Drosophila melanogaster: one gene and its partner. Changing the gene in region 2 together with the main gene of any one other region gives a genetic interaction. Each region holds a gene or a part of one and is shown on either strand. Other genes may lie near its edges.

Evidence for each region.
Region 1: of fkh (region 2) and byn, changing one enhances a phenotype caused by changing the other (phenotypic enhancement), as found in Drosophila melanogaster (one study listed by BioGRID).

The regions. Positions count from the first base shown.
Region 1 is NT_037436.4:11,925,670-11,930,854, reverse strand, and holds the start of byn (brachyenteron), read right to left. Parts: upstream 3,163-5,185; 5' UTR 2,832-3,162; intron 1-2,831. UniProt on the Drosophila melanogaster protein: Required for the specification of the hindgut and anal pads.
Region 2 is NT_033777.3:28,580,429-28,587,072, forward strand, and holds fkh (fork head), read right to left. Parts: upstream 4,837-6,644; 5' UTR 4,126-4,836; coding exon 2,593-4,125; coding exon of another isoform or gene 2,047-2,592; 3' UTR 548-2,046; downstream 1-547. UniProt on the Drosophila melanogaster protein: Fkh promotes terminal as opposed to segmental development. In the absence of fkh, this developmental switch does not occur. The nuclear localization of the fkh protein suggest that fkh regulates the transcription of other, subordinate, genes.

The DNA of each region.
Region 1 (5,185 bases), on a different chromosome or scaffold from region 2:
ATCAGCGGATGCATATGTATGTGTTATCTGAAGGCTATTAAATTATAAAGTAAGGAGAGCGAATCAATCAAAGCGAGCTGTTTTCGAAAACATGTGTTGTGGAGTTGACAACGAATCAAATCAGAACTCTTAAGATACATTTACATTGGATAAATTTCAATTTTAACTTCTAAAAGTGGATACCAACTTTAATATAACATACTTGTCAACTAACCAGGGACATCTTATTGCCCGAATGTCCGTACCATTTCAACCAGAAGCTGGGCCCAATTAAAAGTTTCAATTCGAATTCAATCGGCCGAGTTTAAAAGTTCAACCACTTTGGGCCAGCATTCGAAAGTTATATTCAGTTTATGAATGTTCAAAGGTTTCCGATTTTCCCAGCTCGTGCTCGCTCCGCATTATCATAATTTTCACGCGATACTTGGCGGGTTTTTCTCATGTGCCCAATAGGCGACATCGACGACATCATAAAAATTCACTCTTCATGACGCTGGTTCCCCCACATGGCTCCCCGCCACATGGCTCGTCTCATGGCCGTGTTTGTGTTCCACATCGATCCGCACCACCGCGCCACTCCAGCACCACGATTTTAAGACGCGGTGTCCCAGCTCCGGCTCCATCACTAAGCTTAATGAAAAGCTGTTTTTGTGTGTTGTCTCCTCAGCGGAGGAAGCGTGTGTGACTGTTTGCCCATGTGTATATATGTGGCATATACTTTGACTTTTGATGGCAGCCATGACGGGTTTTCGGGCTTGGGGCTTGGGGTTTGCATTGGACTCTTTCCCCATCTCGGGCCAGCCGCTTTGTTGTTGGCTCTGTTGATTTTTGAATCATTTCGTGACTTTGATATTTACTCAGACGCTTTGAGGGGGTTTTTTCCTCCTATTTTTTTCGTATGAAATGTGCGCGCTATTCCAAATCGAAGCGAACCTTTGGTAATATGGCGCTTACGTACTCAATGTACAGGTACGCACTAATGGTCGCCGATGGAAACACATTCGGCGAATCTCATAGATACATTTCGATGGGTTCAGCTTTAACTTTTAAAGGAAGGAGTGCCAGCGCACTCTAATGGTTCTTAAACGATTATCACTAAAGTCACTAAAAATCATGTTAAATTTGCAGCATTTTATTATAATAGTTCATTATATTATAATAATTATAATAATATTATTATAGTTCAACTTTAACTGATTCCGCGCTGCATTTGTAGTTAAACATGAAATTCAATAAATGCTAAAATATTAAATGTATTAAAATTAGTTAGAGATGATGTTGCTAACCTATCGATTTTCTATAAAATATAAAAACCAGTGTATCTATTATATAATTCAAAGCAATAACCACAATTGCCCTCCTCTCAGGTAATCGAACACGTGCAATAATAAATGCTCTGTTTGTTTATTCGCTACTCCGATCGACTTATCCCACTCCCATTCGCACTTTGTTGAAAAGGACAATATTTCGCACCTGCTCAGGATGCTGGCGGGTGGCATGGATGACGACAAGTCACTGGTAGCCAGTTGGAGGCGATTAAACCGAATCTGCTAAATTTCACACACCACTTCGCGTGAAAATAAACCGAATTTAAATTTAGATACTGCGTGGGCGAACTGAAATGGAAATAGCCGTGAATTGGCTCGATTCTAATGCAATCAATAATGTTTCCGGAGGACAATGTCAGAGGTCGCTCCATTGAGAACTTGGTGACCTTTCAGGATATTTTCGATATATTTTTTTTGGCGATTTGTGGGCGTTTCTTTAAACACCGATTGTCACACTTTTGTTTTCAGCACTCCACGGCACAGTGGTAGGCGCACTTTTATGAGCGGCGTACTAAAATTTTGTACAAACTGTAATTAATTAGTAAGCATTTGTCAAGTACTAAACGATCTGCGTGGGCGTTGCGGAGGGGTGAGGGGGGTTCCTTCGGGTCTGTTTATGGGCCTCTTTGATTTGCATTTAATAGGATAATTTTCACATGCGTCGTAATTGGACGCCTCAGATCGATCCAACTTGATGTTTTTTTTTTGGCAATACCCAGACGCATGTCTGAAAATTCTTATGTCCCCACTAATTTGCGTGTGAACGTCGGCCACGCCCACGGCCACTCCCGCCCCTTTCTCGGCTGCTGTTTTATGTCATTAGAGGTATTATTAGGATCGTTAATGGGGGATTTTGTCACTTGCCCGTTGGATTTCGGGCGAGCCGCCAACACTTCGTCTTGACTTTTTTCTTCTTTTTTTGGCCAAGTGTCAAAATATGTCTGTTTGGTGATTTTGTTTGGCTTCGGCATTTGATTTTCACACGTTCGTTTAAATAGGTTTGCCAATTTGCTATTTGATTACGTTTATGGTCATATGTCACACGGAGGAATAAACACTCGCACTTTATGGCACCCAAACTTTTGAATCGGAGAAGTGACTTTATGATTTTTTTGGGAGCCATATGTTTTGGGGTCAGTGTTTGTCTGCCACAATTCTACTTCATTTTTTACATTTTCTTCTCAAAAAGTTAATTATTTCCAAATATATATTTAAAAGTACAACATATCCTTTGCCGACGCATAAGTCTACTTCCATCGTAAAAATGTCTGATTTTTCTTTTTTGAATAGTAAAAAGATTAGTCAACGTTTCGCAATGTTTAATAGCTGTTATTAGCATTTAAAACGAAGTGTTTAACACTTCTGTTCGAAAATAAAGATGTTTTAAAAAGGAATACAAGCGTTTCTTAAAATAAACTTCGAATTTTCGTTTAAGTTTCTTTCTTATGAAGTTTAAACTTAAAATTTTGAAACCAAAATTGAGATAAAGTGCAACTAACTTACCAATTTGGTAACCTGCTTCACGCCGAAACTCGGCGCTCTCGATATAATCCAGTGGTAAACTCCTTATGAAGATGGTTTAGGTTTAGATTTAGATTTTAGTTGAATACGCAACACTGCCAAATCACGCACTTTTATAGCACTAATTCCCTAGAGGGTTCACTTTATCAAGGATCACTATCGTATGAGTTCAGATTCAAGTGGGAAGATACAGCCGCGTGAAATTTGTTTTCAAAGATTTCAAGATATTTGATTCGAGTCGAGATTCGAGATTGGAGTTTAGCGCTGCCGCCGATCGTGTGTTTGCGTTGCCACCGTTCCCGAGCTAATGATCAACGATCGGTGCTAATTTTTTCAACCATCACAAGCCGCGCTTTCGGTTCCTCTATTTCTCATCTCTCGTCTTTGGCCAGCCGATCGACATCGTGGCATCGTTGTTGTTTTCTTGTTTTGGCCCATGGATGATATGATGGCCGGCTAGCGTGCTAGCTCTCTACCGGTCCTATAGCCATCTCGTTTTGGCCCGATCGATGATCGGCTGGCTGACGGATGGTTAGGCCACACCCTCTAACAGGTAAGACAGCGGCGGTATTTCGCCTCTCGCTCGCTCACCCGGCTGGTCAATTTGCGGCCATCGCCATCGAGAACCCGGCAACAGGTAGAGAGCCCCCATAACATCGAACTCTCAGGTGGGTCGGATCGTTCAGGGCGAGCACACCTTTAACTCTCAGAAGGCCCAGAATTGGAGTCCTAGGCGGGATTTATATACCCCTGCTGTAACCCCCGTGGCTAATCGTTCAATTTGCATGCGCCAAAAATTAAGTGTAACGTGTTTCAGTTGCTCACATTTGTTGCACAGAGAGAAAAAGTCTCTTATCTTTTGTGATCTTTATTATAGACGCTCTGAATTTGTCAAAGGAATCCTTGTCTCAGCCGTAGATTGGAAGTTGAAGGAATCTTTTATCTTTATATCCCATCCGTTGTTATTGAAACTTCTTTCATTAAATGCCTACTGTACATAATCATGGTTTTTGAGTTACTACTTGGAGTCCATATGTAAATAGTTTAATAAGTGGTTGATATCAAATAGATGCAATACAAAAGATCAAGATATTCACTAACAAAAACCCTTAAACTAGGATAATCTGAGATTAAAATGTAAATCTGAGTTGTTTTTTTCGGTGTGTCTGAGGTCTGGATTCACAGTACGTTGTTCGTTGTTCGCCGCAGAGTGGCTTTGATTTGTTTAGACGCTCGTTTTGAGTTTTGTTTGTCCAACCAATTAAAACTTTGTATTTTTTCCACGGGGTCTGTTTGCACTCCAAAACGGGTTTGCCGATCCAACACTTTTTTTTTTTGGTAAAATTTTCAGCTGAATTTCGAGTTGTAAACATTTGACTCTGGTGCGTCAATTTGTGTATGTGGCCAAAATACAAGTTACCCCGGGGCGGAGTTGCTGGATTTTTGGGGCGGTGCGTGACCACACATGACCAACTGAAATTTTGCATCCACATTGGAGAGAATCACACTTTAAAATGCTATATCACTTGTATTTTTTACTTTACATTTCGAACATTATATTTTATTATCGAAGATAAAATAGAAAAAATGTACCTAAAAATATCTTTTAATTATCCGTGTATTATTGCATTGATTTCATTGCTAATTTATATAGTAAATACAGTAAAATGCGATTCAATGAAAGTTTGCTGGGTTGTTTCAAAGTTGTATATTGCGAGACTCGAAACACCAACTATTTATAGCTTTTCCGTGATTTTTTTGAGATCACGCGCCTCTTGCATCGGCAGTCTGTGTTTTTTCGTGGATCGCAGCTCGCTTTTTAGTCGGTTCCAAGTCATCGCCGCGTGTCAATGGACCGACTTTATCTAGGGGGCTGGGAACGGTCAAAAAGTTGGGCATTCTATGGCGCTGAAAGACAAACAGCTCGCGGCCAACGATGGCCATTAGTTAAGGGTCTGGTACAACAGTACAACCGTCGGTAGTAAATGAGAAAAATCAACAGACTAGGGAACTCAATAAAATAGTCGGAGATGGAAATGAAAATGGAGGGGACTCCGGAGGGCTGAGCGTTGGCTAATGGAGAAATGTATCTGGCGGATAGACAAGTGAATCGAATGGATCGCCATGTAGTTGTCGCAACCGTGACGGATGTCTGGGCTACCTATTCCAGTTCCCTTTGGTCATTCATTAAAGATGCCGCACGTTTTCATTAAGAATGCGCCGCGCAGAGGAGTACGCGGAAATGAGGGCGAACCCTACCAGCGCGATCCTCAATCCTTTCGATGACGATAGCGTCCTTGCCCTAAATATTCACCGCACGGCATTGTAGACGCTTT
Region 2 (6,644 bases):
GGGAAGGTGCTCGAACTCGGCTCGTAGTGCTCCATGAATATTACTAGAAAGCAAACAGAGGGGAGTCGAGTCAAGTCGGGCAGAAGATATCCACTACCCTTCCCGCTCTTTTTGGCCAGAGGGATCGGGCTGGGTTGTGCTGGACTGAGATGGGTTAGTCAGTGTGTCAAGTCCGGGCGGGAATGGGTCGGTATAGGACGGTATGGGATGGGCTGGGATGGGTCCCATGTCCCATCCTGGTTGTTTGTTTACCTTCTTGTTCCGTTGCAATTTATGAGTGCACGGCGATAAGGGTTTATCGTGGCATGGTAGTGGTGGAAAACTGCACTCTGCATCTGAGTGACGGCGATAAGATAGCGACTCCTGGAACTACTCAGCTCAGCTATCGGTCGTTCAATTCGAATTCGCTGCATTGATAGCGTCGATAGCGTCGATGGAGATAGTCAGCCATCCGGGCGGCCCAATCAATATATAAATGATTGTTGGAGGTCAGTTGCTTGAGTCAACAAAGGTTGGGAAATGAAAACTAATTTATGGTACTTTTTTTCCTTTTTCTTGTATTTCAAACATTAAAATAGTCGATTTTGGTTGTCGTTGACGTTGTGTTTGTTTTGCATGATTTATAATAATATTAATTTTACTAGCTTTAGAGTTGGATTTTAATTCTTGCGTTGACATTTATTGAATTTTATATTGTGTATTTTACAATAATTTTCATTTGTTTCTGTGTCTGTCAGTGTCAGTATGTGTGTGTGTGTGTGGGTGTTTATATTTAGACTATTTTTTATCAAGTTTAATTAATTAGCTTAGCTCAATGTAAAAATGGGTCTTTGTTTTGTGTTTGCAATTGGTTTTTTATTTTTCATTACGCACAATATAACTAATATTAAAAATTATTGAATAATAATTGCAGTTTCGCTTTTTATGTGATTTTTTTTCATTTTTGTTTTTTGCTTTCATTATTTATGCTAATTAAACGTTAAATGCTATACAGTATTTATATTTATACTATGTTTACTTTCAAGTGGTGTGGCATAATTTCATACAATTTGATTAATTCTCGAGTTAGTTAAAAATTGGTTGCTTGCAATGGGTCCTTAGTTAAATTGGGTTTCTTGGGGAGGGGGTTGCTTAAATGTATCTATTTATAGATTATTTACAAAATGCCTTAATCTAACGAATTCGTACAACAACAGAAGACACATAATGTAAATGAAATGCGGGATTTTGCGATACATGGGCGTATATCGATGCGCGTATATATAAATGGAAATTTGTTAAATTATTCAGTTAAAACGTGTCGTTTTCTTATGCATGGCCAGATTTTGTTGCTTAGATAGTTGAAGATTCTTAGGGTTTTGCTGGACTGCTCAATATGATGATTTCGGTTTTAGATTTCTTTTTGGTTTTGATCTTTTGCGATTCGAATTCGATTGCGATTGCCTTTGGATAAAGGGTTTAGTATTTGTATCTCTCTTTTTGGGACTGTTTCATTTGGGGCTTTGTTTTATGAAAGAACATTACACACGATCCCTTCTTTACATCTCCTCTCCTCAATCTTCTCCTTAATCGGATACATTTAAAATGTGATTTCAAATTTTCAGTTATAACCGCTTTGATTGTTATTGCTTGTTTCGAAACAACGAAAACAAATGGCACGGAATTATTATTTTGTATTTGTATTAGCAAAACGTAAAATTGTTAACAAAAGTTCTGCTGCACTTACAACTACATCACGGTTTCTTTCGCTCCTCCTCCTCCTGCTCTATGTCGATTTAATAACCCCCCGGAACAGAATCTATATAATCTACAATATATAGTACTGGAACTGAACAACACAAAAGGCAGCGCTCTCGATCGGCTCTTCATAGGTATCTCTATATGTACAAGTGCGAGTTGCGGCCCAAGACTCACGTGCTCAAAGGATGAGGATGCGAGTGCGGATGCGGATGCGGCCAGGTGCTAAAAGCCACCGCCACTGCACTCGCTAATTGGCAGGCCCGCTACAAAGCCGCTGCCTGTGGAGATCGGGATCTATAGCTATAGCTACAGAAGATTCTGCAGAGCGGCGGCTCCATTGAAAGCCAGGCCGTGATTCCAATTTCTGTAGCCTGCCGCCGCGGCATACTGCTGATAGTTGTTGTACAACTGCTGCTGGGCGGCCTGATGCTGCTGCAGTTGCTCCTCGCTCAGATCGCTGGTGATGTTCGATGAGTCCTCCTGCAGTTCCTGCAGCAGTTGTTGCTGCTGCTGGTGGTGTTGCTGCTGCGCCGCCGCCTGCTGTTGTTGCTGCTGCTGGTGCTGCTGTTGCAGCTTCTGTGAGTAGTTAGAGCCCGATCCTGAACCCGATCCTGACCCAGATCCCGAGGCCGAAGCCGATCCCGCCTTGCCGCTGGCCTTTGCTGATGTTGCTGGTGTATTGGAAGCGGATGTCAGTTGCTGCGCCGACTGCTGCATCTGCTGCTGCTGCTGATGCAGCTGGTGCTGCTGCTGTTGCTGCTGGTGTTGCTGGTGCTGCTGCTGCAAGTGCTGTTGCTGCTGCGAGCGCAGCATCTGCTCCGCGCGTCCTTAAGCCAGCGGGTATTGGTGATGTCACAAGCTCGTGGTTCCGGCGGGCGCATGGTAGCCAAGACTCTGGTAGTAGGAGTCCTGGCCTAAGGCAGCGTGTGAGTTGGTCAGCGGACTGAGGGCGTTGTAGCCGGCGTACTGGCTCATGTCGTACATCTTGATGTCCGCCTTGGACTCCGTGGGCAGCAGGCGGTTGATGGAGAACGGATGGCTGGAGGGCGTGTAGCCAGAGGGCTCCTGCTTCAGCGGATGCATCGACGAGTGGTAGTCGGTGATCAGCGACGGATGGCACCGATTGGCCATCATCGCCGACAGCTCCTCCTGCTGCAACTGGTGGTGCTGATGGTGGTGATGTGTGGGCACATGCTGCGGCTGCTGGCTGAGGCACAGTTCGGCATTGGCATGCAACATGGCCAGGGCCTCCGCGTCCTTGCTGTGCGCTGCACTCAGGACATTTACGCCGGCGATCGATGCTCCGCCCGCCTCCTTGTGGTGCTGATGATGGTCCAGCCGGCTGTGGTGGTGGTGGTGCATGTGGTGCGAGTCCTCGTGATCCTTCTTGCCCGGACTGGTGGCCTCCAGGCTGCTGTGCGACGGACTCTTGTGCAGCTGCCTAATGGCCTCCTTCTTCTCGTCCTTGAAACGCTTCTGTCGCCGCAAATAGCACCCGTTCTCGAACATATTCCCCGAATCCGGATGCAGAGTCCAAAACGATCCCTTTCCTGGCTTGTCCGGCGTCCTGGGAATCTTTACGAAGCAATCGTTGAAGCTCAGCGAATGTCGAATGGAGTTCTGCCAGCGCTGCTGATTCTGCCTGTAGAACGGAAACAGATCCATGATGAACTGATAGATCTCCGAGAGCGTCAACATTCTGGTGGGGTTATTCTGAATGGCCATGGTGATCAGTGAGATGTAGCTGTATGGCGGCTTGGCATGCGTGTAGCTCCTTCTGTACGTAGTTGGTTTGTCCACCCGCGATCTGCCTAGGGAATTCGGCGATCCCGTCTCCATTTCCCGGGATCCCGGCGGCATGGCGCCATAGGTGCCGCTCAATCCCGCCGCCGACATACTCGCTGCCGACATGGCCATGCAGCCACCCATGTTCCCGAGCGGTGATCCCATGCTGGCGTAGCTCATCGAGCTGGGGGTCATGCAGTTGCCGCCCATTGAGTTCATGGCCGCCGCACCCATGCTGCCGTTCATGCTGGCATTCATGCTGGCGCTCATACTGGCACTCATGCTGGCGCTCATGCTGGCGACCGCCGCCGCCGAGTCCAGGACGCTGGAGCTGAATGTGGCCGCCGCCTGAGGGGAAACCGATGACATGCCACCCACCGGCAGGCCCATGCTGTTCATTGTGTAGGCGGATCGAGCCAGGGGACTCATGCTGCCGCCGTTGCTCGTCGGATTCGGGTTGTTATTGCTGGGCGGTGGGGGCCCACCGCCTCCTCCTCCGCCGCCGCCTCCACCGCCGCCCGACGGAGGACCACCGCCACCCGAGCTGGCCATGCTCACCGGAGCACTGCTCGGAGGCGGCTCCGCGTAGAGCTTCTGCATGATGTCAATGGTGGTCTGGTGGGGGCTACCCTTCAGAAAGCTGTTCAATAGTTGCGCCGTTATGTTGCCGGCTTTCGGAGGCGCTGCCCTCTGGTGGATCGATGGAAAAGGCAACGCGTTCTGCAACGCGTTAGTTAAAACGAAAATCAAAAAGGAGGTCTTTAAAACGTGGCTTTACTCTGATATATTGTATATCAACTGTGATTTCAGTGCACTATCACTGCTTCAATCGGTTTGCATATATCTGGCATTTTATCGAGAGCACTTCGGCACTTGTCACTTGTTGGCTGGAAGGTTCTGATTCCGTTTGCGATTCTGATTCTGATTCTAAGCTTTGTTTGTAAACACACACCGTGGTTTAATTATTTGTGCGGGATAATCATATAAAATATATATTTATTTTCTGTTATGATTCGATTCTTTTTGTATTTTCTTTGTATTTTTGTATGGGGATTTTTGTTGTCTGCCGCACCGAGCGGCCACAAAACACCGACGCACGAACGTGAATATCTAGCTGGCTGTTGGCCACTGAAGTCTGAAGCTGGGAGTTGTGCTGTGCTGTGCTGCTGCTTTTGCTGCTGCTGCTTTTGCTTTTGCTGCTTTGGCTGATGCTGCTGTTGCCGTTGCCGCTTTAGCTGCTGGTCCGCTCGAGTGTCTCTTTGGCTTGAGCTCTTGAATGTGACTGTTTGCAGAGGGGAACGCTTGTCTACTATTTGGCTTGCGCTTGCTGCCAACAAATATTGTTCGAGCCGCGCTCAAGTGCCTCGGCCGACGTCGGCGTCGACAGCGGCGGCAGCGGCAGCAGCGACGCGCCCGGGCAGCACCAGCTCCGACTCGTTCTCGCCAATGGCCCGGCGGTATAGTGCGTCTCACCACCACCCTGGCGGAGTTACCAATGACAGGCGGCGGTTCTCTTACGTACACAGTGGTGCTGCGGCGCAAGCGCATTGGTCGGTTGGCCTCTTGTATCAACAGAGCAGGGCCGGTTGCCAGGCAACTGGCCATTGGGGGGGCGTGGCCAGGCCGCAGTCAGCAACGCCCTCCACTCACACACCCTCAGCGGTGCGGACAGAGATACACGGGCAGAGATACCGGATACGCATACAGCTGCAGATACATTCGCAGTGGCCTAGCCTAATGCTGAGCGACGCCATGTTACAGTTAACGATTTTCCCTAATGCGATCAATAATCGCTCGCTCTCCTTCTCGCCGTAGCGTGCTATCAGAAAATAAAAAGAAAAAATGTGGAAAAAAAACCATTAAGACGGGTTCTGGAGACCGAATCTCTGGGGAGACTGAGAATGCGACGACGCTCTGTTTTTCGAGAGAAACAAAAAGACCGAGTGTTTTGGCCTGGCCTGGCCTGGCTTGGCTTGGCTGGGTTTGGCTCCCAAACAAGACATTTAATAATATCTGTGTGTGTTTTTTCAGCCAGTTTTTTTTCGTATCCGTACCGCTTTTTCCCTTTTGAGGTTAAGGTATGCCAATGTCACTCTCATTCATTCCCATTCGCATTCGTGGCGAGGCATCGCGAGCGGCAGCAGCAAATCATCAGAACAGCGGCGCAGTTCACCTTTTTGGCAAGTCATTGCGAAAGTGACCCAGTTCTGCATCTGGCCAGCATCAGCCGCATCTCATCCGAGCATCCCACTGCATCCTACCTAAGATACCCGAAACATAAGCATCCACAGTTCATTGATAGCGCGTGCTGGCAGCTACTTCCTGGTATCCTGGCAATTTATCCACGTTTATGGTCCCGGATAAAACGCATTCTAATTTCGGGCCATAAACCATAGACGCCTTTCCTATTCCGCTTAACCCTTTCGCTTGGCCAAGTGTATCTGCGAGTGCCTGTGTGTGTGTGTCCGTGTGCGAGTGTGTGCCAATCCGTGAGAGTGTATGTGTGTGAGCCAGGCTCATTATTGCGTGTCATAAAAGGACGATTGTCTCGTTTCTCAATGAATGTTTTGCTCAATTAAGATCTACCTGAGCGGGAGGAAAAGCGGGGAATTTCCGCATTACTTTTCCATTTGTCAATGCAGCAGTTCTTTCTCCTCTCACTTTTTTGTAGCCTTCATCTAGGCGCTGAGACATTGAATTTTTGAAATTATCAATGAAATGTAATGAAACATTTCGCTTGTGGGAGAAATCACATTTTTATGATCGCCCCATTTCCGAGTAATTATAATGACTAATGACTTATGTCATATAGAGCCGTTTCCCCTTCACAAAAGCACTACTGAGTAATATTTTTATCATATTCAAGATTATCTTCAAATTGTTTGAATAATTGTTTACAATAACCATGGGTTAGATAAGATTGAGAGATAAGCGAAACTGAATCAGGAAAAAATCTTTCGCTCAACAATGGTATTCATAATATTTAACCTGTTTAACATTGTTTGGCTTGCCACTCGGATATCTATATCCCATCGTGATGATCATTAAACATCAAACACTTTCGGTGACTGAGCACATATGTACTCAAATCCTTATGTGCACTTCTAATAACCGTAATG